7 linked regions of the Macaca mulatta genome follow. The protein of the gene in region 3 binds, or shares a complex with, the protein of the main gene of each other region. Links are inferred from orthologs where the notes say so. Each region holds a gene or a part of one and is shown on either strand. Other genes may lie near its edges.

What was found.
Region 1: NUP98 (region 3) and NUP93 share a complex: the UniProt entries of both Homo sapiens proteins name them as parts of the nuclear pore complex. The link is inferred for Macaca mulatta from reciprocal best matches to the Homo sapiens genes NUP98 and NUP93.
Region 2: NUP98 (region 3) and NUP153 share a complex: the UniProt entries of both Homo sapiens proteins name them as parts of the nuclear pore complex. The link is inferred for Macaca mulatta from reciprocal best matches to the Homo sapiens genes NUP98 and NUP153.
Region 4: NUP98 (region 3) and centrin-2 share a complex: the UniProt entries of both Homo sapiens proteins name them as parts of the nuclear pore complex. The link is inferred for Macaca mulatta from reciprocal best matches to the Homo sapiens genes NUP98 and CETN2.
Region 5: NUP98 (region 3) and NUP205 share a complex: the UniProt entries of both Homo sapiens proteins name them as parts of the nuclear pore complex. The link is inferred for Macaca mulatta from reciprocal best matches to the Homo sapiens genes NUP98 and NUP205.
Region 6: NUP98 (region 3) and NUP107 share a complex: the UniProt entries of both Homo sapiens proteins name them as parts of the nuclear pore complex. The link is inferred for Macaca mulatta from reciprocal best matches to the Homo sapiens genes NUP98 and NUP107.
Region 7: NUP98 (region 3) and NUP85 share a complex: the UniProt entries of both Homo sapiens proteins name them as parts of the nuclear pore complex. The link is inferred for Macaca mulatta from reciprocal best matches to the Homo sapiens genes NUP98 and NUP85.

The regions. Positions count from the first base shown.
Region 1 is NC_133425.1:52,442,121-52,444,775, forward strand, and holds part of NUP93 (nuclear pore complex protein Nup93), read left to right. Parts: intron 1-153; coding exon 154-271; intron 272-709; coding exon 710-793; intron 794-2,587; coding exon 2,588-2,655. UniProt on the Homo sapiens protein: Plays a role in the nuclear pore complex (NPC) assembly and/or maintenance. May anchor nucleoporins, but not NUP153 and TPR, to the NPC. During renal development, regulates podocyte migration and proliferation through SMAD4 signaling.
Region 2 is NC_133409.1:165,434,390-165,438,218, forward strand, and holds part of NUP153 (nuclear pore complex protein Nup153), read left to right. Parts: intron 1-283; coding exon 284-478; intron 479-1,045; coding exon 1,046-1,930; intron 1,931-3,829. UniProt on the Homo sapiens protein: Component of the nuclear pore complex (NPC), a complex required for the trafficking across the nuclear envelope. Functions as a scaffolding element in the nuclear phase of the NPC essential for normal nucleocytoplasmic transport of proteins and mRNAs.
Region 3 is NC_133419.1:72,107,113-72,110,941, forward strand, and holds part of NUP98 (nuclear pore complex protein Nup98-Nup96), read left to right. Parts: coding exon 1-7; intron 8-1,276; coding exon 1,277-1,543; intron 1,544-3,829. UniProt on the Homo sapiens protein: Plays a role in the nuclear pore complex (NPC) assembly and/or maintenance. NUP98 and NUP96 are involved in the bidirectional transport across the NPC. May anchor NUP153 and TPR to the NPC.
Region 4 is NC_133426.1:159,105,925-159,110,391, reverse strand, and holds the start of centrin-2, read left to right. Parts: upstream 1-1,586; 5' UTR 1,587-1,610; coding exon 1,611-1,613; exon of another isoform or gene 1,614-1,979; intron 1,980-2,561; coding exon 2,562-2,720; intron 2,721-3,042; coding exon 3,043-3,171; intron 3,172-3,641; coding exon 3,642-3,779; intron 3,780-4,368; coding exon 4,369-4,458; 3' UTR 4,459-4,467. UniProt on the Homo sapiens protein: Plays a fundamental role in microtubule organizing center structure and function. Required for centriole duplication and correct spindle formation. Has a role in regulating cytokinesis and genome stability via cooperation with CALM1 and CCP110.
Region 5 is NC_133408.1:175,386,311-175,390,795, forward strand, and holds the start of NUP205 (nuclear pore complex protein Nup205), read left to right. Parts: upstream 1-1,656; 5' UTR 1,657-1,673; coding exon 1,674-1,701; intron 1,702-4,485. UniProt on the Homo sapiens protein: Plays a role in the nuclear pore complex (NPC) assembly and/or maintenance. May anchor NUP62 and other nucleoporins, but not NUP153 and TPR, to the NPC.
Region 6 is NC_133416.1:75,841,516-75,845,344, forward strand, and holds part of NUP107 (nuclear pore complex protein Nup107), read left to right. Parts: intron 1-1,245; coding exon 1,246-1,336; intron 1,337-1,482; coding exon 1,483-1,559; intron 1,560-3,006; coding exon 3,007-3,066; intron 3,067-3,737; coding exon 3,738-3,829. UniProt on the Homo sapiens protein: Plays a role in the nuclear pore complex (NPC) assembly and/or maintenance. Required for the assembly of peripheral proteins into the NPC. May anchor NUP62 to the NPC. Involved in nephrogenesis.
Region 7 is NC_133421.1:84,894,100-84,898,461, forward strand, and holds the start of NUP85 (nuclear pore complex protein Nup85), read left to right. Parts: upstream 1-1,382; 5' UTR 1,383-1,424; coding exon 1,425-1,457; intron 1,458-4,075; coding exon 4,076-4,169; intron 4,170-4,362. UniProt on the Homo sapiens protein: Essential component of the nuclear pore complex (NPC) that seems to be required for NPC assembly and maintenance. As part of the NPC Nup107-160 subcomplex plays a role in RNA export and in tethering NUP96/Nup98 and NUP153 to the nucleus.

The sequences.
Region 1 (2,655 bases), on a different chromosome or scaffold from region 3:
TCATTCCGCCCCAGCCTCCCATGTAGCTGAGATTACAGGCATGAGCCACATGAACCATACCCCACTGTCTTTTTAAATGCTATTCCACAGTTATGGATTACACAGAAATTCCTGATACACTCTCACTCCCCCCACCCCGTTTTTGTCTTTCAGGTATAGGGCTCAAGGAATAAGTGCAAATAAATTTGTGGACTCCACGTTCTATCTTCTTTTGGACTTGATCACCTTTTTTGACGAGTATCATAGTGGTCATATTGATAGAGCTTTTGATGTAAGTTTCAGGAAAGGTGTTTGAAGTGCAGGTTAATGTACACCCTTGAAAATTCAAAACACTGCATGGAATTTACTTAAAACAAAGGAGCTGTTGCCAGTATGTTTGTTAAATGAAGAAGGACAAGTACAGTCCTGGGACTTAAAAGGATTTCCTGTGTTGCTTTATTTTTTCCCCCTATTCCTTTCCCCTTTAATCTGAAAACAGATACATTTCTCAAAGTAATTTGAAATCTCTGAATTTTAAAAAATGTGTCAGAAAATGAGGATAAGAATTAAGTTAGCTAGTTAGAATCAAAGCCTTTCTGTGTACACAAGGGAGAATGGTGTTTTCTATGAAGAAGCCCTTTGGAGTATGTGAGGGTGCTGACTTTACATGTAGAGAGATGAAATGACTGTGATGATTGTCTTACATGGGGCTGGTGGTTGTTTTAAACAGATAATTGAGCGCTTGAAGCTGGTGCCCCTGAATCAGGAAAGTGTGGAAGAGAGAGTGGCTGCCTTCAGAAATTTCAGTGATGAAGTAAGTTCCTTCTTCCTGAGTTATGGAATTCCTTTTTCCCCACTTCCACCAAAAGCTTTTTCTTTTCCTGTACCTAACAGCTTTAAGAGTTCTAGTTACAGTAACTATCCAGACTGAGTTTTCCAGAGTGGTTCCCTTTCAAATACCTTGGCCTGGCTTTTCTGTAAGTGCATACATCCCCATCAGATTATTGTCTGAATTCCTGATTGAGAAAATACAGTCATTTCAGTGATTGACATGTTCTTGGGAGAAACAGGTTTCTGGTTGATCCTGTGAAGTCTGGTTTAATTCTTCTATTATCCACTTGTACTAGAGGGTATTTTGGTGCTTAACTCTGATCATCTTTAAGTAGTTCCATTGGGTACATGAAACACATCATGATGCACTGCCACCTTTGCCCTCCCTGATCTGTTTTGTCTAAAGAAGCAAATTCAGTGACTGTGACTATCACCCCATAAGCCCCAGAGCCACTGTCTGTCTGTCGGGTTTCTAGCATATTGCCAACATCTAGCCCAGGGTGCTCAGCTGGGCTGCATACTGGCATCTCTAGGAGAGTTTCTAAGAACTCTCATGCCCAGACCCCAGAGATTCTGGTTTCCCTGACTGCTGCAGCCCAGACCTCCCTGAGTCATTCCAGTGTGTGGCCCAGGTAAATTCATCTCTAGAACTACAAACACTCAACTCAGCTCTCAACACTATGCTAGAACCAACTGCCTGGCTCTGGGATGTCACTAGTGGTTTTTCAGTTTAAAATTATTCCTCATTGAGCAGATGCCTTTTATAAAATGTCTCTGGCCAGGTGCGATGGCTCACGCCTATAATCCCAACATTTTGGGAGGCTGAGGCAGATGGATCAGCTGAGGTCAGGAGTTGGAGACCAGCCTGGCCAACTTGGTAAAATCCCGTCTCTACTAAAAAATATAACAATTAGCCAGGCATGATGGCGCATGCCTGTAGTCCCAGCTATTCAGGAGGCGGAGGCATGAGAATCGCTTGAACCCAGGAGGCAGAGGTTGCAGTGAGCTGAGATTGCGCCACTTCACTCCAGCCTGGGCGATTGAGGGAGACTTTGTCTCAAAAAAAAAAAAAAAGTTTCTGTTTTAGAGAAAGAAGTAAGGCCAGTTCTGCACATGAAGAGGGATGTTGACTACTGTGGTACACACAGTTCAGAAGGTCTTACCCCTTGCTGACTTTCCCTTTATACCTGCTGTGGTTTCTACCCTTAGCCACTTGCTCCTTTGTTATTTCTAGCCTTTCCTTGAATACATCCTTCATTGCATCAGAGATTAAAGTAGTACACCAGGGCCTGCCCTTGTAGACACTCCCAAGGACTCTGGTAGGGCCATGCAGATCCAGTGGAAACAGCCCACTGACTTTGAGAGAGTGGGGAGTGGTAGGGACTGTGGAGAAGTAGCATGTGCACCTGTACCTCCTGACATTCAAATTCAAATTATGTATTGGCATCCACTCTGCTGGCCAGTCTAAGCCTAATGCTAACCAGATGTCAGCATGCTTTTTTTGGCTTGCTGCCCCTGACTAAGGGAAAAACAGCATAAACAGCATAAAGGAGCAGAAACAGTAACCACCTGACCTGAGGAGCATTGCTTGGGGTTTTTTCTCACACTTGATGTTTCAGTGCCATCAGCTCCTTTTGGGTGACTGTGTGGCTCTCCACCTGGTAATGGTGAGGAGTGATGCGACCAGGCCCGCCTGGAGCAGCCCACCCTCCCTCCATCTGTGGTTGGCCCGAAAGGCTTGGTTCTTGTTCTTTACTCCGTTTTTCTCTCTGTGTAGATCAGGCACAACCTCTCAGAAGTGCTTCTTGCCACCATGAACATCTTGTTCACACAGTTTAAGAGGCT
Region 2 (3,829 bases), on a different chromosome or scaffold from region 3:
ACATGTGGTTAAGAGGGAGCTCACCACTGAGCAGGGTGATTTTGAGCTGCTCATTTATATGGTTAAAATAAATCTGAGAGTTCTATTCTTTTTTTTAAACAATATAAATATGAACAATTGTTCGTATTTCTGGCACGTTCTGTGTTTTAATAGGAAATATTATTAGAAATTCAACACTTAAACTTAGGGGTGTCATTGAGATACTGACATATTATAAATTAAAATTTTCATGAATTCTGCCCCTCCCCACTCCCTGTTTTTTTTTTTTTTTTTTTTTTTTTAGGAAGTTCAGTACCTACTTCAAGTAGCAGCACTGTACCCATCTCTCTGCCTTCTGGAGGCTCTCTAGGATTGGAAAAGTTCAAGAAGCCTGAGGGGAGCTGGGACTGTGAAGTGTGCCTAGTGCAGAATAAGGCTGACTCTACCAAATGTTTGGCATGTGAAAGTGCAAAGCCAGGCACAAAATCTGGGTTTAAAGGTAAGGCCAAAAAAATAAAAATAAAGGTGATGGTAAAGCGCCTTTTTGTAAGGCCATTTAAAAATGAAGTATTTGAGAACAGCTTCAGTGTTCACTCATTCTCTCTTGAAAATTAATATAAAATGAGATTATCCTGAGATGTTTATATCTGTTTCTGAATTATTGTAAGGTCAGTTAGTTGCTTGTCAAAGGATATATGCATTTGTAATTTTTGGTAACTAGTGACAGATTGCTCCTTGTGAGTTTTGTGCTCATTTATACACCCACCTGCAATGTGTAGCCTGTTACTTCCAGTCTCATTGCCAGTATAAACTTTATCAAACTTTATCTCAGCCAGTCTGATAAATGAAAAGTGGCATGTCAGGATAGTTGTGAGGAGTGAGATACAATTCTCATACCACATAAATATTGGTCACCTTGAATTATGTTTACGACTGCTGGTAATACTCTTCAAAGTAGACCCTTTCAAAGTTATTCCTATGTTTCTTTGGCGTTCAAGATGTTTATATTTTGTTTGAGAGCATCAGTACATTAATTGTCTATGTGGTGTCTTTTATATTTTTGCAGGCTTTGACACATCTTCCTCATCTTCGAACTCAGCAGCCTCCTCATCCTTCAAATTTGGTGTCCCATCACCCTCTTCTGGGCCTTCTCAGGCTTTAACAAGCACTGGAAATTTCAAATTTGGAGATCAGGGAGGATTCAAAATAGGTGTGTCATCTGATTCTGGGTCTGTAAACCCCATGAGTGAAGGCTTTAAATTTTCTAAACCAATAGGAGATTTTAAATTTGGAGTATCATCTGAATCTAAGCCCGAAGAAGTTAAAAAAGATAGTAAGAATGATAATTTTAAGTTTGGACTTTCTTCTGGTTTAAGCAACCCAGTTTCTTTAACTCCATTTCAATTTGGGGTGTCTAATCTTGGACAGGAAGAAAAGAAAGAGGAACTGCCCAAATGTTCATCTGCAGGTTTTAGCTTTGGTACAGGTGTTATTAACTCCACTCCTGCTCCTGCTAACACCATAGTGACCTCTGAGAACAAGAGCAGCTTCAACTTTGGAACCATAGAAACCAAGAGTGCTTCAGTGGCTCCTTTCACATGTAAGACATCAGAAGCTAAAAAAGAAGAAATGCCAGCCACCAAAGGAGGATTCTCTTTTGGCAATGTGGAGCCTGCCTCTCTGCCATCTGCCTCAGTGTTTGTTTTGGGAAGGACAGAAGAGAAACAGCAAGAGCCTGTCACTTCTACTTCCCTAGTTTTTGGGAAGAAAGCTGACAATGAAGAGCCAAAGTGTCAACCAGTGTTTTCCTTTGGGAATTCAGAGCAAACCAAAGATGAGAATTCTTCCAAGTCCACATTTAGTTTTAGCATGACAAAACCATCTGAGAAGGAATCTGAACAGCCAGCAAAAGCCACTTTTGCCTTTGGAGCTCAAACTAGTACTACAGCTGGTAAGTATTAACTTTATTATTTTTTTTACAAGTTGCCTTTACAGATGCAGCAAGTCAAGTAATGGTTTGCACTGAACGTAGTTGAGAAATACAGAACTCTTTGGGAAGGAACCTAGGATTTTCAGTTTGAACCACTCTTTAAAACCCTCATGATTCTGATGAAGTCATCTGTGGATCTAATTTTGAGAAATACGGCAGTAATGCAAAGCTCAATATAGTGCATATTTATGTGTGTCTTTCTCTTCTGTTTGGGCTTTTATAATCAGAATTGGTATCTACTACCTGGAAAATAAGGATTCTTAGCTTATGAAGTATTTTCTACCATAATCTATGGTATTTATAAATAGTTACAGATAACCAGTCCTCATCAGACATTAAGAAACATAGACAACAAATATAATTAATCCTGAGAAACCAAGAGATTTTGAAAGCTGAAGTCCTGGGGGAAAAAAAATGACACAGCACCTTAAAGGTTAAAAGCATCATTGTTGGTGGATCATATTAAAGTCATTCTGTGGGCGGAATAGCAGGAAGAACATAGCTGATCATCAGATTAGTGAACTAGAATTTCCCTGAACTTAGTGCACAAGTACAAAGAGTGATCCAAGTTAGATCCACAAGTTCCTCTGGAACAGGAGTGACCTAGAAGATAAGAAGTTTTGGGGGAATATCAAAGAAGTGACAGAAGAAAATTTTCTAGATCTAAAGAAAGACATTGGTCTTAAAAATGGAAATTACCTATTGGCAAAGATCACTGAAATTTAGGACACCAAAGCTAAAACCCCAAATGCTTTCAGAGAGAAAAGCTATTTGCCACAAATAGGAAGATACCAGATTAGCATCATCTTCTAATTTGCAACATCACATGCTAAAAACAGAACAGTACCCTCAAAATGAAAATGTTCTTGAACCTAGAATTCTGTTACTAGCCAAATGTGTTTAAGTATAAAGACAGTCCGGGTGCCGTAGCTCACACCTGTAATCCCAACTAGTCAGGAGGCTGAAGCACAAGAATTTCTTGAACCTGGGAGGCAGAGGTTGCAGTGAGCTGAGATTGGCCACTGCACTCCAGCTTGGGCAACAGAACGAGCCTCTGTCTCAAGAAAACCCAACAACAACAACAAACACAGAGGCAAAATACAGGTGTTTTTAGATGTGCAAAAAGTGCAAAAGTTGAATATCCATGAATACTTTTGGATAATAAATTGGAAACACTCAAAATTAACTTTTATATGGAATTCAACAAATAACTATGAGCAGTTTTTTGTCTGTCATATATTTACTTAGAAATATAAAGATAAAATAAAAGCTAAAATTACATATTATTTGGAAAGCAACAGAAATATGATAGGGTCTAATCAGATTTGATGGTGAAACACCAGGCTGTGGTAGACACTCTTAACCATTCTTCCATTAGCCAGCTTGAAAGTGAGCCAACGTGTTCCATTTTCTGTAAGTCAGACTAATGCCGATAGCATACTGTGACCAGCCCTGCATAGTGTGAAGTATTGGAACTGAGAGATTATTGGAATAGTTTAGAAAAAAGTCTTCAATAAGGTGGCTGGATTCAGAATCATGATATAAAAATCAAAAGTTTTTCTTCAAATCGGCATATCTCATTTGTTTTTTTCTAACATTTCTAACTTGTATTTTATAAAAGCAGCAGAACTTTTAACATGCCAAATAATAAAAGAACACAAAAGGCGTACTTGTTGCTGGGCAAAGATATTCCCTTCCTCCTCCCATAATTTTAGTTCTTAGGGGAATTTTTGTAGAGCTTGACAAGCTAAACTTACTCTAAAATTCACATGGAAAGGAAACTATACAAGAAATTTTGGGAAAAAAGGCAGGCACACAGGCAGCTTTGTTCTGCTATCATCAGTCCATGGTGTAAAGTTG
Region 3 (3,829 bases):
GCACAAAGTGAGTATACATTATGTTTTTAATCTTTGATGTCCCAGTAATAGGGGTGGTAGTGTACACGGGAGTTCTTGATACCAGTCTAGTAGGTAAATGCCTGTGCTTGTCATTTTCTGAGGCTGAGTTTAAGCAGATTCCCAAGCAAGAAGAAATTGTCACTATATTCTTGTCACTTTGTTCTTTTACCCATTAATGTACAAATTCTTCCACAAAGAATTGTAGCCAGTCAAATCCTTGGATTTATAAAATTGCGTTTCTTACCCAATCCAGAGAACATAGGGAGAGAGATACAGTCCTTCTTGTTTTTCTTTTCTTTTCTTTTTTTTTGTTTGAGACAGAGTCTCACTCTGTCACTGTAGCTGGGACAACAGGCACGCGCCACCACGCCCAGCTGATTTTTGTTTTCTCAGTAGAGATGAGGTTTCACCATGTTGGCCAGGATTGTCTCCATCTCTTGACCTCATGATCTGCCCGCCTCGGCCTCCCAAAGTGCTGGGATTACAGGCGTGAGCGCCCGGCCCCTTCTTGCTTTTCTAAATCCTGTCCATTCTTCCATGTCCAGCTCCAGTACTATTGGTCTTCTCAACAACTTTGTTGTATTTCCTCTTCTTGGCTTCTCTCATGATTACCGTTCTCCCCTATCATGACCATGTTTTTCTGAATCAATACTTTGATAAAGGGGTTCTCTAATTTGTTAATATTTCAAACAATAGAAAAATCATTCTGTTAATATTTCAAACAGTAGAAAAATCATTTTGTTTTGCACATCACCTTTATTGAAAATGGGCTGTTTTAGAATGTCCTGTGCCACACATTTTGGGATTTATGTTCCTTCAGTTCTTTGTATTTACTTAATTGTCTCATTGTCTTTTCAAATGTGTAAGTTATTTTACCAGTGCATACTTGTAAGTGGCTTAAATGATAAACAGTGCTTTTGTAGATTGATTTTTGTAGATAGAATTTGATCAAAGTAGACATCATCTGAGATGACATTAGCCATAATTAGGCTTGGGGAACCTGTTTAACGGTTACATTTGTTACGTAAGTACCACAGAAACATGATGTGAGCAAGCATTTATTTATACCATATACTTCTGGAAATTATAAGATGAAGCTGAGTGAGGTAGAGACAGATTCAGGGTAATCAACTTGAGTGGTTGTTCGAGATGTTTATTAATTTATGTATTTTTAACATCACAGTTAGAAGGATGCCCTCTGTGAAGTTGTTGTAAGGCTTTGTCTCATAACATTGTTTTTCTCTTCCTGCCTTAGTTGTGAAGCACTGGAGCCTGACATGGACACTATGTGAAGCCCTATGGGGCCACCTGAAGGAGCTTGACAGCCAGCTAAATGAACCCTGTGAATACATTCAAATTCTAGAGCGAAGAAGAGCTTTCTCCCGCTGGCTATCCTGTACTGCCACACCTCAGATTGAAGAGGAAGTCTCCTTAACCCATAAAAGCAGCCCTGTGGAAGCTGTATTCAGCTACCTTACAGGCAAAAGGATCAGTGAGGCCTGCTCTCTGGCCCAGCAGTCAGGTGGGGAAGGATTATGGTCCTTCTCTGCGCCCCTGTCGCCTTCCTACTCATTACCTCCTTCCTGTCCCCCCGACTGTGCATTTCCCTTTGACTGCTAGTCTGTGAGTGTTAATTGTGGACTTCCCAGGAAGATTGCTGGTTCCTGTGGAATATGTAATGTAACATAAAATTTAAATGTTAATCAAGTAAACAATGTTTAAGGTCCTAAACAGAGAATTAGAAGACATACTTCAGGTGCGCACAGTGGCTCATGCCTGTAATTCCAGCACTGTGGTAGGCCAAGTGGGGTGGATCACACCCACCTATTCCTGTAGAATAGGAACCATGACGGGTTTGGGGTTTTTTTTTGTTTGTTTGTTTTTTTTTTTTTTTTTTTTTGAGAGAGTTTCTTGTTGCCCATGCTAGAGTACAATGGTGCCATCTCGGCTCACTGCAACCTCCTCCTCCCGGGTTCAGGTGATTCTTCTGCCTCAGCCTCCCAAGTAACTGAGATTACAGGTGCCTGCTATCACACCTGGCTAATTTTTGTATTTTAGTAGAGACAGGGTTTCACCATGTTGGTCAGGCTGGTCTCAAACTCCTGACCTCAGGTGATCCACCCACGTTTGCCTTCCAAAGGGCTGGAATTACAGGTGTGAGCCACTGTGCCCAGCCAAACTGTGTCTTCTAATTCTTTTTTTTTAGGACCTTAAACATTGTTTACTTGATTAAAATTTAAATTTTATGTTACATTACATTTGTAATAAAACTGGAAAGCATAGATAAGCTATAAATCAAAATCAACTATAAGCATTACTCTGAATTGCTATAAAATATGTTCTGTATCAATTCACTTCATTCAAATAAATACATAGAAGTTGAATTTCTGGATTGAGGTACTCACTGGCTTTTTAAAAGGAATTTGTATGCATATATTTACTTTTTAAAGTTCCGTTTCACTAATGAGGCAATTCAGCAGGTGCTTAATGACTGCCTAGATATAAATCTTTTTTTTTTTTTTTCTTTTTTCTTTTTTCTTTTTTTAAAGACAGAATCTGTCTCTGTGTCACCCAGGCTGCTGGAGTGTAGGGGAGTGCAGTGGAATGATCTCAGCTCACTGCAACCTCCATCTCCTGGGTTCAAGCAATTCTTCTGCCTCAGCCTCTTGAGTAGCTGGGATTACAGGTGCCTGCCATCGTGCCCGGCTAGTTTTTTGTTTTTTGTTTTTTGTTTTTTTTGGTAGAGACACGGTTTCACCATGTTGGCCAGGCTGGTCTCAAACTCCTGACTTCCAGTGAGCTACCCACTTTGGCCTTCCTACTGCTGGGATTACAGGTGTGAGCCACTGTGTCTGGCCATAAGTCTTGATAAGAATACAGGATGGCATAGCTCAGCTTAATCTAATATGATTAGATCGTTATTCAAACCTTGATTGTTGGAACCTCATTTATCCAAAGCCAACTAATTGGAGCCATTGACTGGATTTATTTTGAAGGGTTTGGCTAGTTTTGGGATTATAAAGAACAAATCACAGGAAAAGCCAGAATCAGTAAGCTATATAAAGGGCTTGTTGCATTCCACTATCACTACACATTTAACCTCGTAGCTTTCTTTTTTTTTCTTTTATTTTTTAAATAGAGATGGGGTCTATTTGTTGACCAGGCTGGTCTCAAACTCCTGGCCTCCTTCCTCAGCCTCCCAAAGTGCTGGGATTAGAGGCATGAGCCACCACATCCAGCCTCAGTCTGGTACTTTTATGGTCTTTCTGCATTTCTACAGTGAGAATTTATCTTTGGGATTGATCTTCTATGAACTTAGAATGATTATGAATCATTTAAAAAAGGTTATGCTCACCAGGACACCAACATGTAATAGGAAGGAAAATGCCAAAAGTCAGATTCTTAGGTCTATTCATTCATAAACTCCACTTTCTTCCTTTTTATTTTGCCTCAAAGGCTAAACCTCTGGTAAAGGTACTGCCTTTTAGGTTACTAAAGCTTTTGCTTTACTACTCCCCCCTCCGTTTTTTGGGGGGTGTTTTTTTGTTGTTGTTTTGCAAGACAGAGTCTTGCTGTGTCCCCCAGGATGGAGTGTGGTGGCATAATCTCAGCTCACTACAACCTTTGCCTCCTGGGTTCAAGCGATTCTCCTGCCTCAGCCTCCTGAGTAGCTGGGATTAACAGGTATGTGCCACCACACCTGGCTAATGTTTATATTTTTAGTAGAGATGCCATTTCGTCATGTTGGCCAGGCTGGTCTTGAACTCCTGACCTCAGGTGATCTGCCTGCCTCAGCCTCCCAAAGTGC
Region 4 (4,467 bases), on a different chromosome or scaffold from region 3:
ACAACAAAGAGCAAAATAAACAAGCAAAATATACAGTAGGTCAGAAGGTGATAAGGACTATTGGAAAAAAAAGCAGAAAAAAAAGCAGAGCAAGGTGAGTGGCCTGTTTGTATTGGGGGCTGCAGTACTTAAATAGGGTGCTTAAGAGGAGGCAGACAGAGAGGACAACTGGGACAAAGATGAGAGGCAGTAGTGTGGCTGGCACATGAGGTTCAACCACAAAGCCAGTGTTCTGGGGCTGAGAGAAGAGTTGTGGAGTGATGGGAGGGGACACGTCGTGCCAAGCTTTGGAGACCATGATGAGAACTCTGGCTCGTACTACTTGGGGGGATGATGATGACCCAAAAATTAGGAGTCTGTTCACTGCTGAAGAGGGCAAAGGGCAGAAGCTCCATTTAAAAGGTTCTAATAAGCCTCAGGCCTTTCTCTGCCTGAAAAACTTACTTTCTGCCCTCTACTTCCCTAGATTACTGCCCCAGTGCCTGGAGGAAAATCAGGTGAAGGCTAAAAGCCACGTAGACAGCTAAAGAGGGCAAACTGGACCTCCAGCTCCACTTCTGCAGGTCTGTCTCAGTCCACACAGCCCTTGCACACGCTCCCTTTTAATTCTCCAAGCATACCTCTCACTTCCAAAACTCCTGTGACTCTGCTGATGAGGGCGTCTCGGCCTGGAATGCTCCTCCTTATCTGCACTGTGTGGGTGTCAAAAAGAGTATATTTTGATGACCTCTCCCCGCCCCTCTTGCTTGCTCACATCCCCTTCACTCCTTTCAAAGTCCGTTCCCAAAGCCCCCAGTTCACCGTCCTGGGCTGTTTTTAGCCAGGTAAGACCTGAAGTGATCCTCTCTTGGAACCTGGTCTGGGGCCTACACATCTGGGTCAGTCTGGGGGTGCTCTCGAAGGGCCACCCTCAAAGAGCGAGCCTCGGCTGGATTCAGTTCCTAGGTCCCAGCCGTCCGACCTCTGCCACAACGCTCAGCAGACCCCTTCCCCTCTCCGGGTCTCAGTTGCCCCGTGAGTACAGTCCCTGCTCCAACACGCAAGGTCAATCGTCTCTGGCTGCTCTGATGCACTCGGTCCCTAACTCAGCCTTAGGTCAGCACAGAAAGCACCCGACCCGGGCGGCCCCGCAGCTCCTCACCCTCCCGCCCCGCCCAGTCGCTGACACAGGGTGGCCTCCAAGGGCAAGGCCACGACTCTTACCCGTCCGCAGGTGCCCCACTGGCTGGCCTCAGCTCGCAAGCAGGCTGCACCCACCGAACTCCAGCCCCGGAACGCCACCCTTTACTCCCCTCCCGCGTGAGCCGAGAATCAGCCGAGCTTCTTCTACCAAGAGGATTGGCCCAGCTCGGCGTCGGCTCAGCCAATTGGCGCTCACGGCTTGATCTTGCCCAATAAAGACAGGTCTCTGTCCCCAGCGTGCCCCTCCCCGCGCTGGGCCTGGGCTTTGCCAGGTTAGTCCCACCCTCTTCGGCCCTGCACCAGTAGGGAGCGGCGGCGGCGAGCGGACGCCCAATGGGGAGCGGGGCTGTGCGCGCGGGGCGGTGGGAGCGGCGCCGAATCAGTGTACACGTCGGTTGCCTAACAACCGGCCGTGGACTCCTTTGGCTATGGTGAGTGCTGCCGCTCTGTCGCGCCCCACGCCCAGAGGCTGAGCCCTTCCCAGGCCCCAGCTCGGCCACGCCGCCTCTCCTGCGCCTTTCTCGGCTTTGACGCACCAGTCCTTCCTTTGAGCTCTTTCCCGGAAGAGTAGGGTACAGACGCTAACCAACCTACTGGGCCTGCGCTTTGCTGCTGCCTCCCCTTCACCCACAACAGGCCCACACCCGCCCCTCGGGCTCCCCTGGCCTTCCCTGATCACCTCGGTGAACCTCCCTGGGCAAAAAAGACTCGAATCCCTCACAGGCCCCTGACTTTCTCAGACCTTGGCCCCCTGGCCGCCTCATTCTGCCAAAATTTCCACACAGAGCTGGGAGAAGGTGTATTGTGTTCTATTAAAGTGTTTTTTACAATTTAAATATAGGGGCATTCAGGGGATGCTGTAGCTTCTTGGAGAAGGCACGAAGGTGTCAGATGGATTGAGTTTTATTACTCGATACTGACACAATATACATCTTAACAACTTGCTAATATTTGGCCAAATCTAGAAGTAATTGGGAAGTCAGAGTGCTTACTGGGAAGCGGAGTACTGGGAGTGGGCATTGTAAGGCAGTTTCCAGAACCAGGATCCCCACATTCGGGAAGAGCTGATTATCTCTACTTATTCGCAGTCATTTTCTTGACTAGCTCTCTTTTGGGATGATTTTCAGTAAGAGGTATCCTTACTGAACAAGTGATCTCCCTGCTTCTAGAAACGACAGTAAAGAAAAGGGAGGGATAGAAGTTCATGGAAAGATTCATTGTTCTTGCCAGTAAACCCTGTTATCTTTCTTGTTAAGCAAAGCTTTGGAATTGGTTGCCATAAAATTATTTAAAACTACATATGGGTGTCTGTAACTATGTTATGTAAATATGGACTGTACGATATATTATTGTGCTTGTGTATTGCATAACGTATGAAGGCCTCCAACTTTAAGAAGACAAACATGGCATCAAGTTCCCAGAGAAAAAGAATGAGTCCTAAGCCTGAGCTTACTGAAGAGCAGAAGCAGGAGATCCGGGAAGCTTTTGATCTTTTCGATGCGGATGGAACTGGCACCATAGATGTTAAAGAACTTAAGGCAAGCTCTATGCATTCCTGCCGTACTGCCCTTCCTTTCCTCTGCCTCTTCCTTGTCATCTCCCTATCACCTCTCTACCCCTTTTGCCCTCTTCTCCCTGCAATAAGTAACAGGGGAGGTTGTACTGTGCTCTGTTTTCCTGTCTTTACTTAGAGTATTATTAAATAAAATTGATTGCAAATGTCAATTAGATCAATGTTATAGTGTTCCCCAATCATATTAACATGACCACATCAGATGCTGGCTTAATGCTCTCAACACTGTTGTTTTTGCTGCTGCTAGTTCAGATGTGCTTATTGAGACAATCCTGTTTTCATTATAGGTGGCAATGAGGGCCCTGGGCTTTGAACCTAAGAAAGAAGAAATTAAGAAAATGATAAGTGAAATTGACAAAGAAGGGACAGGAAAAATGAACTTTGGTGACTTTTTAACTGTGATGACCCAGAAAATGGTGAGTAGCTAAGACAATTTGCATGGTATGGCGCCCCAGTCATCTGCAGAGGCCCATGGCATCTGCCTGTTAAAACAGTCATGTGACCACAGAGCAGTCCAGGTAGCAGCTGCATCAGGAGGCCTGCCCTCCCATCATGTTACCTTGGGCTCCCAAAACAAGCCCTTGTACTTCTTTCTCAAGACTTCCAAGCAGATACCTCTTCCCACAGAATTCTAAACCAGTTAGGAAATAGATATGGGATAGGGAGAGATATAGGGATAGGGAGCAAACGTCACCTTGGATGGAGTGCCTGGCTTGACTGGTGTTTCTCTGAGGCCAAAATGGGCTTCCTGACACTTGCTGCAAGTCTAGACTCGAGTTACATTGTTAAAAAGGAAAGGGTGACCTGACCGGGCAGTGGCAGGGCTACAGGACATGAGTAACCATGGTGTCCCCCTACTCATGTGTTTCATGTTCTATTTGGTAAGTCTGAGAAAGATACCAAAGAAGAAATCCTGAAAGCTTTCAAGCTCTTTGATGATGATGAAACTGGGAAGATTTCGTTCAAAAATCTGAAACGCGTGGCCAAGGAGTTGGGTGAGAACCTGACTGATGAGGAGCTGCAGGTTTGTAATGCATCACACTGGAACTTAAGATTCCCACCTTTGGGCCCTCTGTGACTTTTCTGTTACATTTTCCCTAGTGTGAGCACTTCTTTGAAGGAAAGCCAGTGTACTTTGTCCCTCTGTGGACAACTGAATTCTCCTTTAATAGTCAGACAAACCTATGAACGCTGCTTCCAGAAAAATGCACATAGGCACAGTTTTGCCTACTATTTTACATTCCAGGAATCCCTCTAGTCAAGGTAATCTTCAAGCTCCCTCCCAGGTGATAATGTTTGACAAAGTATGAGTTGGTTTTCAAATAAGTTTTCAGGAACCAAGCTATTATCAGGAGTGGCATACTGGCATTGGGTGGACTACAATTATCTATTCACATAGTGTTATTAAAAGTCTATTGCTTGCCAGGCACAGTGGCTCATGCATGTAATCCCAGTACTTTAGGAGGCTGAGGCAGGAGGATCGCTTGGGGCCAATAATTTGAGAGTAGTGTGGGCAGCATAGAGACCCCGTCTCTAAAAAGAGTCATATTACTTAGTCACCTTTTGGCATTAGTTTATAAATTAATCTAACCTGAATCTTTACTGTCATATAGGAAATGATTGATGAAGCTGATCGAGATGGAGATGGAGAGGTCAGTGAGCAAGAGTTCCTGCGCATCATGAAAAAGACCAGCCTCTATTAAGATCAGTGT
Region 5 (4,485 bases), on a different chromosome or scaffold from region 3:
AGGGAAAGGCTGGTAACAGTTGTGCTGAGAGAGAAATCTTTGAATGCCACTTCCTGTCAAGTTCCTGCACAGTATTCTTCTCAGTTTCATGATAAACTTCTTGAAATATTCCTTTGCCTTTACTTTCTCTCTTCCCCACTTCACTCCTTAAAACCACTTTAATTGTAGTTTGGCATTTGTCTCTATATAACAATGACTTCTGGAAAAAAATCACCAGTGACTTTTGCGTTTCAAACTTAATGTACATTGTGTCACTTGATATTATTTGTCCAAAATAATAAATATTCTGTTCTGGATATTCTTTTTTGTTTGTTTGTTTGAAATGGAGTCTCACTCACTCTGTTGCCTAGGCTGGAGTGCAGTGGTATGATCTCAGCTCACTGCAACCTCCACCTCCGAGGTTCAAGGGATTCTCCTGCCTCAGCCTACCGAACAGCTGGGGGTTACAGGTGCGTGCGGCCACGCCTGGCTAATTTTTATATTTTTAGTAGAGACGGGGTTTCACCATGCTGCCCAGGCTGGTCTCAAACACCTGACCTTAAGTGATCCGCCCACCTTGGCCTCCCAAAGTGCTGGTATTACAGGCATGAGCCATCGCACCCAGCCAGTTCTGGATATTGTTAACATACTCTGTGCTTTTGTCTAAATTATTTGATTCTAATTTCCAACAGTGAAATGGGAATGATGGAGAGTTGATACAATGAGATTGTAAGGCACATAGAACATCGCTGACATAGCTATAATCAGATCATTTTCCCAATAGAATGGTTTGCAGGGATTAAATGAAATAATGGCTGTAAAATTCTTAATACATAGCTGTAAATAGCAATGATTATATTTTAGTTTGAAAATCAGTAAACTAAAATTTAACAACTGAGGAAAGAGAGTTCAGCTACTTTGGTTGCTCAGGTAGAAAAATACTTGGTGATTATGAAACGATATGTCTGGAATTTGTTTCAAAATAATCGGGGGCGGGGGGTGGGGAGGATAAGGTGCTGGGGTGGTAAGGGTGGGTTGGGGCTGCCGTGGTGGGAAATTGGCCACGTTATTGATGCTGCCTGTTCACTATGCTAATTTTGTATCCATTTGAAAATTTTATAGTTAAAAATTATGATTTGTTTCGCTCTACGCAACTATGTTGACACAACATACTTGGTAAATTGAAATGTCACGGAAACTTAGTTTTTAACTGGTCAATGACTTTTTGAGGTGTAGACACTTCACACCTTACTCCACTCCCCACTGTAAGGAAGATTTAACTTGAAACGGAGCTAATGATTTGAATTTACGGCTTTTATAATCTCATAAGTGGGCGTCATTTTAATAACTACTCTCAGAATATCTTTTTCTATTCCACTTTACTTTTTCCTCTCCACTTAACCAATTCATCATTAGAAAGAAACTACAAGTCCCAGGATGCACTACACGATGAACGTCCGATCGAGGACCTCGTGTCTCTGAAGTGGTTGCCCTCGCCTTATTTGAATGGGAATAATCCCAATGAAAATTGATACTTGTGACCCAGAGCAGATTCTGGAGCCTTCTGTACACCTGGGACGGCCCAGCGTGGAGGGGACAGCCTGGTGCCTTTTTGTTCAGGCTTCACTCAGGGCAGCCTCACCCCTTCCTGGGGCCTCCATGCGGCAGAAGGGCTCTGTTAGTGCGCCTCTAAGATGGCGACGCCTTTGGCGGTAAATTCGGGTAAGTGTGGCCAGACAGAAAGGAGATGATTGAGCTGAGCGATGACCAGGTCTTCAGGGAGAGACGAGACCGTGGGGTTTCTCGGAGTCTAGGACCCAACTTATGTGCGGTGCCTCCTTTTCCCTAATTCTGGGCCTAGAGTCTCACCCCTCCCCAGTTTGAATGGCGCGCGTCGGTGCTGCGGCTCTAGCCCTTGAGTTGGCGTTTGAGAGTCGAGGTAGTGAGGCTTGGGCCGCTGGACCCAGGTGTTTAATCTCTCACAGCCCAGGGCTAAGCCTGGCCCCCTTACCCCCAAGTTCCACTGTGCGTCTGTGGTCCAGATTTCGCCGGAATAGCGACAGGTCTTCAGCAGTGAAGCCAAAGGACCCGAGATATTTTCCAGCCACGAGCAGAGGCTGAAAGTAGGCGCCGGTGTTCTTAGAGGGTGGGAGATCTTGCAGGCGGCGAATACTCCCGATGATGAAGTCGGCCATCTGAAAGGTGGTCAGGAAGAGGGTGGCGGGGCTTCAGCGGACGTCTCCTAACTCTGCGGGTGTGGTTAGGCCCTGGATGTTCTTGTACCTTTGGAGCTGTAGATTTTCGGGGTGGAATTGAATCTAGAAGGTAGTAAAGGAATTCTGGAAGATTTGGGGTGGATCCTCTTTTGGTGATTCTCAGTTCGGGCGGTACCGCCCTCCAGTGGTGTCTGAATGAGTGAGTGCATTTTGATTGTCATATTTCCTGGGGTACGCTGCTGTCGCATAGTAGGCGGAGCAAGGATGCAGAAAGTCCTTCATGGGCAGAGCAGTCCGGGGAAAGAATTTGGCGCTTAGAATGTTAATGCCTCGGTTGAGATGCTCAGAACTTCGCGGGCAAGATTAAGAGTACATTTGTGTGGTAAATGCTTGTAAGAATCTCACTTAAAAGGACTCTTTCCTGGGTGCATTTTCTGTTTCTTTACAGTCACTTTTTAAAGTATTGGTTCTATTTTCCACAGGACTGATATTCTCGAAAAGTTGTCTAAATCTGCTTTGTAAATCAAATCATTTCAGAAACGCTGTGATAAATTATAATGAAAGCTATGCTTACTGAGCACATACTATATCCCAGCTTTACGCTTATTATTGTGCTTATCTCATTCAGTTGCCCTTTGGAGTAGTTGCTGTTAAATACACTATTTTACAGATTTGGAAATAGAGACTTCAAATAGTTACGTAATGTCCCCAGAGTTAAACATCTAATGATTCTAAGCCAGTCTTAGGTGCTTAAACTACTTAGTGCTACTACTTAAGCACAACCTAATTCATTTTATGATATTAGACATATATTAGAAGGTTAGTAATGAAGTTACATGCTTAATATTGCTGTCCTTCCTTCCCAATTAGATATGCTTAAAAGCAAGGGTTGCGTGTTATACGTGTGGTTATATATAATTTCTCTATTTTATTTTATTTTTTAATTTTTTGTTTTTGAGATGGGGTCTTGCTCTGCCTCCCAGGCTGGAGTGCAGTGATGCGAACCCGGCTCGCTGCAACCTCTGCCTCCCAGGTTCAAGCAATTCTCCTGCCTCAGCCTCCCGAGTAGCTGGAATTACAGGCACGCGCCACCACGCTGGGCTAATTTTTGTATTTTTAGTAGACGCAGGGTTTCTCCATGTTGTCTAGGCTGATCTCGAACTGCTGTCCTCACGCTATCCTTCTGCCTCTGCCTCCCAAAGTGGTAGGTTTACAGGTGTGAGCCAGCGCGCAGGGTATATACATTTATTTTCCTTTCTTTTTTTTCTCTTTTTGAGATGGAGTCTCACCCTGTCACCCAGGCTGGAGTGCAGTAGCATGATCTCGGCTCACTGCAGCCTCAGCCTCCCGGGTTCGAGCAATTCTCCTGCCTCAGCCTTCGAAGTAACTGGGATTACAGGCGCCTGCCACCATGCTTGGCTAGCCTGGCTTATTATTATTATTATTATTTTGAGACGGAGTCTCGCTCTGTCGCCCAGGCTGGAGTGCAGTGGCGCGATCGCCACACACTGCAAGCCCCGCCTCCCGGGTTCAAGGAATGTCCTGCCTCAGCCTCCGGAGTGGTTGGGACTACAGGCGCCCACCACCGCGCCGGGCTAATTTTTTTTTGTATTTTTAGTAGAGACGGGGTCTTACCGTGTTAGCGGTAAAACCAAGAGTTTTAAAAGCCAAGAGTCAGGAGGTGGTTTTTTTAAAAAACTAAACGTGGTAGGGAAGGAACTCTTTTTCCATCAAGTAATGAATGTCGGGTTGAGTGGGTAAAGGAAATGTGTCATATACATGCAATATACATAATGTATATGCATATACATAACGTATACATGCATATACATAATATCTTTATGCAGCCTTAAAAAGGAAGGAAATCCTGTCACATAAAACAATGTGGATGAATCTTGAGGACATACTAAGTGAAATAAGCCAGTCACAAGACACAAATACTGCATGATTCCACTTATATGAGGTATCTGAAGTAGTCAAACTCATAGAAACAGAAAGTAGAATGGTGGTTGCCAGGAGCTGGGAAAGGGGAAAATGGGGAGTTGTTTAGGGGGCATAGAGTTTCTATTTTGCAAGATGAAAAAAGCTTTGAAGATCTGTTGCACAATGTGAATATGCTTAACACTGCTGAACTGTACACTTAAAATTTGTGGAGATTGCATTCTGTGTTATGTGCTTCCTTTAAATTAGTTTTAAAAAATCAAACATCTTAGAGTTGTAAGGAAAAAATATAGAGATTGTAGAGTTCTAAGACTTATGGTTGGTCGGGTGTGGTGGCTCATGCCTGTAA
Region 6 (3,829 bases), on a different chromosome or scaffold from region 3:
TATCACTAGGATACTATCTGTTTCCAAGACCCATAGCTCTACCCTACTCTCTGTGCCTTCATTCCCAGGAAGCTACTCCCCATGTTGTATCAGAGATGGATATGAGACGCTCCAAGCTTACATCCTCCTGCCAGCTAGCAATCTCAGTAAAAGGAGTATATTTTCTTTCCCAGTATCTCCAGCAAGAGTCCTGATGGTGAATCTTGCTATAGCTCACATCCCTAAACTCAGAGTTCTGGAATGGGATCAGGCCTATCCAAAACATAGGAGCTAAGAATGGGGAAAAGGTGATTCCCTAAAGGGATGATGGAACAACAAACATGTATTTACCTTACTGGTATATAAACACATTTACTTACTGACTTACTGGTCAAGTTGAACATGCAATATTATCAGGGGAGTAAATGAGCAGTAACAGCCTTGTCATTAGAGACTGTTTTTGTAGTAGTTTTTCATAAATCAGAGGTCATCAACCTCTTTTAACCCCATTTGTTTCTAGCAGAATTAAATGCCAGTGGGTGCCGTGGGAACCTATTGTTAAGCCTAAAGTCAAATAGAAAAGGGATTTTTTAGAAATAAAAACAGGGCCAGGTATGGTGGCTCACACCTGTAATCCCAACACGTTGGGAGGTTGAGGTGGGGGGGATCCCTTCAGTCCAGAAGTTCGAGACCAGCCTGGGCAATATAATGAGACTCTGTCTCTGCAAAAAATTTTTAAAAAGAAAGAAAAATAAAGGCAGAAGCCACAGAAAGACATACATATGTTTTAAAAATAGAATACCATTATTTATTATTTATTTATTTATTTAATTTATTTTTTTTTTTGAGACAGGGTCTCACTCTGTCACCCAGGCTGGAGTGCAGTGGCGCAATCTTGGCTCACTGCAACCTCTGCCTCCTGGGTTCAAGTGATGCTCCTGCCTCAGCCTCCCAAGTAGCTGGGATTACAGGTGCCCGCCACTACGCCGGGCTAGTTTTTCTATTTTCAGTAGAGACGGGGTTTCACCATGTTGGCCAGGCTGACCTGGAACTCCTGACCTCAGGTGATGCACTTGCCTTGGCCTCCCAAAGTGTTGGGATTACAGGCGTGAGCCACCGCACCCAGCCAGAATGCCATTATTAACTGCCTACATCCATCCCTTGTAACATTTGTTCCATAAGTTATCTAAACTTGTCATATATTGGTTATACTTTACTCTAAAGTACCCTGGTTATTGTACTGACTGCTTTTTCTTGTTTCTTAAGGCACAACGACTCTGTAAACGCTGTGGTCAAGCATGGAGAGCTGCAACACTTGAAGGCTGGAAACTGTACCATGACCCTAATGTTAATGGAGGTATTTTAGTAGATTTTATATTGACAGTTGAGGACAAAGGCATTTCGCTCTAAATGCCAATCTTTGTGAACTATAGCTTCTCTTTTTAGAAAGGATTGTAATAAGGTTTCATTTTAAACCAGAAATTTTCTTTTACTGTTTTATAGGAACAGAATTAGAACCTGTTGAAGGGAATCCATATAGACGCATTTGGAAAATAAGTTGCTGGAGAATGGCAGAAGATGTAAGATAAATAAAATATTCAGTGATACTGTTTTTAACTCCAATTAATTGAAAGCCTATTCAGGGGCTATGAAACGTTGAAAGTAGTGTAAAACTGGTTTTCAAAGAACTTCCAATTAAATTGAGGAATAGGCTTAACAACTTATCAGAATTATTAAAACACTATGTACTAAGAATTAAGCATTGATATAAGGCAGAAATGTAAAGGAGGTACCAAATGAATTTAGAGAAAAAGTATTGGACTAAAGCTTAAAGCTGGCTTCCCTAAGGAAAGAATTGAATTGAACTTTTAAAACTTAGTAGGATTTGCGTTTTGGGGAATGAAAAACAAGAGGAAGGAATTCTAGGTAGGATACATAGATTGGGAAACTCAAAGTAAGGTAGGTCTACCAGGTTGGAGAAGAATGCTCATAAAGGAAATACTGTCAGTTCTGTTGTAACATGACATAGGTATTCAAAGTCACCACAATGTGCAGCATTGTACGAAAACCCCATAGGACTTAACAGGAAAATGGAGTTAAGACAAAAATACTCAAAAACTTCATTAGTGATACGTAAAATAATAAAAAGTTAATAAAAATGGTAGCACAGTTTTACATCTGTCAAACAGTTTAAAAAATACATAAATACTACAATAAATATGGCACTTTACCTTGAAAAAGGCCCAAAGTTTGCTTGTGGAATTGGCTGTCAGGGTGGTAGAAGCTTTAGCGCAGATAGCAGAAGTGTTTTTGAGAAGATCAGCCTGGCAATGGAAAAATATACTTAAAATTAGATGGACAAAAGGCTGAGAAAGTAGTTAGGAGCCTGTCAGAATTATTTGGACACTAAGTCATAAGGGTCTGACCTAGGATAGTATTGATGGGAATGGAAAGGAAGGAAGAGACACTGGTTAGGAGCAGTGATTAGAAACAGAAGGCAGAGGTGGACTCAGTTATGCAGTAAGAGTCTCTGAAGTCTCTTGTTTGGATGATAAGAAAACTGGAAATACCAAAAGTAAAATGGGGAATTAGTTCTACATAGAAATTAGATGCAAACTAATGCATGCCTTGTTTTGATGTTGTACATAGGTCAGTATCAGAGAGTATCAGGTCAATATCAGAGAGTATCAGGTATTGAGAAACATTCTAGGAGAAAATAATATATAGGTTGTTTCTGGAATAAAATTTGATTTTAAATATTCAAAGCATCCACTAGAGTTGGATTTGCTTTCACCCGATATTTGGCATTTAAATGTTTTACTTTTTTTCTCCAGATCTCAGCATTGATTATTTCATCACACTGAAGTTCTTCCTTGTTATTACCCCACTAGATCTTTCACTAAAGTTTAAAAACTATCAGGTGAATAGGTTCAGTCTAGAAGAGATTGCAAGACTCCACATTATGAGGAAAATTGACATACTAAGAAAAACAGTATTTCAAATTTGTTTATGTTCATTGTGTTTTAGGAGCTTTTTAATAGATACGAGAGAGCAATTTATGCAGCTTTAAGTGGGAATCTTAAGCAGGTATGCAATCTGTTTTAATGTTTAAATTTTTTCTGTGGAATAAAATTAAATAGATAAAATATTCTAACAATTGTATTTAACAAATATAAACTTAAGTGTATATACTTAAGTATGTATGTACATACTTAAGTGTAGCAATGATAGAGATAATCATGAATCAGATAGTGACTCGTTGTGCTTAATTTGATGTATCCCATAACATACATGGTGTTTTAATGAATGAAATCAGATTTCAGTTTTTAACTAAGAATTGTAAACTTAACTCCAACACACATTTATTGATGACTTAAAATACTCATAGCTGTATGCAGAAATGTGCCAGAAAGGCACAGTGAGTCCTTGGGTTGTCTTACATACGCATGTTTTTCTCACAACCCAATACTCCCCACATATTATAGCTATCTTTAGGGATACTACACTAATCAGTTGAAATGTCATATGAGCCTGGAAAACATGTTGTTGTTAACAGTATGAAAAAATCTGAACAGTTCAAACATCTTACAAGATGTAGTTGGCAGGGGAAAGCTTATTTGGCATAATTTTTTTTTAAATCCGCCATGTTTTATATCATTATAAAGTGATTTTATAGTCTGTATCATTGGATGTAATTGATTTTCCTTTCTTTTCTGTTGAATATGTCTATATGTTTCTGTTTTGTAATGGGGAAAAAGCTGCTTCCTGTCTGTGACACCTGGGAAGACACAGTTTGGGCCTACTTCCGGGTGATGGTGGATAGTCTGGTAGAACAGGAGATCCAGACATC
Region 7 (4,362 bases), on a different chromosome or scaffold from region 3:
GCAGTGGCACGATCTCGGCCGACTGCAACCTCTGCCTCCTGGGTTCAAACGATTCTCTTGCCTCAGGTGTCCGCCACCACGCCCAGCTAATTTTGTAATTTTAGTGGAGATAGGGTTTCTCCCTGTTGGTCAGGCTGATCTCGAACTCCCAACCTCAGGTGATCCACCCACCTCGACCTCCCAAAGTGCTGGGATTACAGGCGTGAGCCACCGCGCCCGGCCTAAATTTTGTATGTTTAGTAGAGATGGGGGTTTCCCCATATTGGCCACGCTGGTCTCGAACTCCTGAACTTGTGATCCACCCGCCTCGGCTTCCCAAAGTTTGGGGATTACAGGCGTGAGGCACCGCACCCTGCCCAAGCCCGGCTAATTTTTAAAATATTTTTAGTAGTGACGAGGTTTCATCATATTGGCCAGGCTGGTCTTGAACACCTGACCTCCAGTGATCCGCCCATCTCGGGCTGCCGAAGTGCTGGGATTAGAGGCTTGAGCCACCTCAAGCCTCTAATCCTTCAGGAGCATCGATTTTGTCCCCGTGCCTCTTTTTTTTTTTTTTTTTTTTTTTTGAGACGGAGTCTCGCTCTGTCGCCCAGGCTGGAGTGCAGTGGCACAATCTCGGCTCACTGCAAGCTCCGCCTCCCGGGTTCACGCCATTCTCCGGCCTCAGCCTCCCGAGTAGCTGGGACTACAGGCGCCCGCCACTGCGCCCGGCTAATTTTTTATATTTTTAGTAGAGACGGGGTTTCACCATGGTCTCGATCTCCTGACCTTGTGATCCGCCCGCCTCAGCCTTCCAAAGTGCTGGGATTACAGGCGTGAGCCACCGCGCCCGGCCTCCCCGTGCCTCTTGTGTGTGTTCTAGTGTGGGAGTGACGGCGACTGCTTTCCAGCACAAGCCCATTTGACTGGGTTTGGACAAGTGGCTGCTACGACACTAAGGTGGAGATAAGGATGGAGCGAGGACTCCCAGAGTTGGGAAAGCTTGCAGGCTTACTGGGACCTCAGTCCGGCACAAGTTCCCACCCAGGTGCCGCCGCCCCAGCCTACGCACGCGCAGTCGCACCGTCTCTGGCCAAGGGTTCCTCCTGCCCCGCCCGCCCTCTCCGGGGGCCTTCTCTCCGCTCGGCACCAGGGTGTCCGCGGCGCCGCCTGATCCCGTTAGCGCGGTACTGTGAGTGCAGTCCGTCCTCGGCGCTGTTTTCCCTGACTTGCTGTCGACGCCAGGAAGGAAGGACGCGCGCAGAGGACCGCAGAGGGGTGGCCGTGGCTGAGGGAAGAGAGCGCCGCAGCACTGAAGGTTTGGGCTTGCAGGCGCTGCAGGAGGCGCCCAGGCGGGGTCCTGTCTCTCAGCCAGCTCTGAGCGGGAGGCCTGAGCCGGAAGCATTGACGTCCCGGCGACTTCCCAGAGCCTGGGGTTCGGCGCTATGGAGGAGCTCGATGGCGAGCCAGCAGTCACTGTAAGGGCACCCCGAACAGGCTTGATCGTCCTTGTGGGTTGAGAACTGCGTCTGCTTCGTTACTTCAGGCTTGTCTGCTTCCCTACTGGCTGCGAGGCTCTCGTCCCCTTCCCTTGATTCAGTTGCCACTTTCCGGAGGTCGCAGTGTTAACTAGGTGCCCGACCTCGGGTCGTAGTGGTCGCGGGGTTTCTGCCACCAGTCACAAAGCCAGGCCTCGAAGGTCCCAGTCCGTCCCTTTCCTTCTTTTGTCTTGCTGACCTTTCTACTTCCCTCGCATTTCCTCTTGGGTATTAGAGTGGGTTCAGCCCAAGCAGAGGAATTTATGTTTTTCTTCCAGCCATATTAAGCTCTGCATCGCGGCACGTTGAGTTCTGCTTGTGTGACCTAAGGTTTATTAAACGTATTATCTCAGGAGACTATTCATATTTTATCGCTGTGCATTCAATTCCATTTGAACTTTGAAGAGAGTATGTCAACTGTGGATGATCTGTGATGTGTATAAAAAAAATTCATGGACTTTATGTGCGACATACCTACCGTTTCTGCTACTTGGAATGCTTTTGTTTTCCCTCTTTCTCTTGTTAACCGCTGACTGAGGCAGGTCTCAACCGATGAAGGTTTATTTAGCTAAGGTTGAGGATCCAACCGGGAAAAAACACAGGTCCCAGGAGGATCTGAGACTTGTGCTTTTTCCAGAGATGGTTTTGGGAACATCAGTAGTTAAAGAGGAAGGAACTAGCAGGAGGGGCAAAAAAGGGAGGTTAGGCAGTGAAGAGGCAAATGGTTACATTCTTGTGAGTCTCTGATTAGCCTCAGTAAATCTGCATTTTACCTGTGAAAAGAGGGAGTAGAGGAAAAATTTATGTATGCATTCATCTCAGGGTAGGTAGAGGGATGGTTTCATTTCTTTTTTTTTTTTTTTCTGAGACGGAGTCTCGCTCTGTTGCCCAGGCTGGAGTGCAGTGGCGCCCCTCTGGGCTCACTGCAAGCTCGGCCTCCTGGGTTCACACCATTCTCCTGCCTCAGCCTCCCCCAGTAGTTGGGACTACAGGCGCCCACCACCACGCCCGGCTAATTTTGTTTTGTATTTTTAGTAGAGACGGGATTTCACCGTGTTAGCCAGGATGGTCTGGATCTCCTGACCTCGTGATTTGCCCACCTCGGCCTCCCAAAGTGCTGGGATTACAAGTGTGAGCCACTGCGGCTGGCCTCTTTCTTTTTTTGAGACGGAGTCTCACTTTGTCACCAAGGGTGGAGTGCAGTGGCGCCATCTCAGCTCACTGCAACCTCTGGCTCCCAGGTTCAAGCGATTCTTCTACCTCACCCTCCTGAGTAGCTGAGATTACAGGTGCGTGCCACCACACCCAGCTAATTTTTATATTTTTGGTAGAGATGGGGTTTCACCATCTTGGTCAGGCTGGTCTTGAACTCCTGACCTCGTGATCCGCCTACCTCAGCCTCCCAAAGTGTTGGGATTACAGGCGTGAGCCACCACACCTGGCTAGGAGTTCGAGACCAGCCTGGCCAACATGGCGAAACCCCGTCTCTACTAAAAAAAATACAAAAATTAACCTAGCGTGGTGGCGCATGCCTGTAATCCCACCTACTCAAGAAGCTGAGGCAGGAGAATCGCTTGAACACAGGAGGCAGAGGTTGCAGTGAGCGGAGATCGTGAGATCGCGTCACTGCACTCCAGCCTGGGCAACAAGAGTTCGAACTCCTGGCCGGGCGCGGTGGCTCAAGCCTGTAATCCCAGCACTTTGGGAGGCCGAGACGGGCGGATCACAAGGTCAGGAGATCGAGACCATCCTGGCTAACACGGCGAAACCCCGTCTCTACTAAAAACACAAAAAATTAGCCGGGCGAGGTGGCGGCGCCTGTGGTCCCAGCTACTCGGGAGGCTGAGGCAGGAGAATGGCGGGAACCCGGGAGGCGGAGCTTGCAGTGAGCTGAGATCTGGCCACTGCACTCCAGCCTGGGCGACAGAGCGAGACTCCGTCTCAAAAAAAAAAAAAAAAAAAAAAAAAGAGTTCGAACTCCTGACCTCAGATGATCTGCCCACCTCAGCCTCCCAAAGTGCTGGGATTACAGGTGGGAGCCACTGTGCCCAGCACAAAATGAATTTTTCTTACTAGTGTTATAAGAAAATGTTATTGAAGGATACAATGTTATTACAGGACCAGCTGTGCTCTTCACTTAAAGTGTTTTTCAGCCAGGCCGGCATGGTGGAAAGTGTTTTTCAGCCAGGCGGGCACGGTGGCTCACGCCTGTAGTCCTAGCACTTTGGGAGGCTGAGGCGGGTGGATCACCTGAGCTCGGGAGTTTGTAACCAGCCTGGGCAATATGGTGAAACTCCATTTCTACTAAAAATGAAAAAAAAAAAAAAGCCGGGTATGGTTGCACACATCTATAGTCCCAGCTACTCAGGAGGTTGAGGCAGTAGAAGACCTTGAACCCAGGAGGCGGAGATTGGAGTGAGCTGAGATTGTGCCACTGTACACCAGGCTGGGAGACAGAGTGAGTCGTTGTCTCAAAAAAAAAAAAAAAAAAAAAGAATAGAACGACTTCAGTAAGAAGAACATTCTTCATTTTAGATTTCTATGTCTTATTTTACTAGGTGATTCCAGGTGTGAATTCCAAGAAGAACCAAATGTGTTTTGACTGGGGTCCAGGGGAGATGCTGGTGTGTGAAACCTCCTTCAGCAAAAAAGGTAGGGGTTTTTTTTGTTCCAAATTGTCCATCTTGGTACATCTGGTTGTTTTTCTGTTTATTACCTCAGATTTGACTAGTTGTGGACTGAAACAATTGAATTTGTTTTGTACCATTTTAATTTTCTTTATTTTGTTTTCAAGATACAACAGGGTTTTGTTGTGTCACCCAGGCTGGAGTACAGTGCGATCATG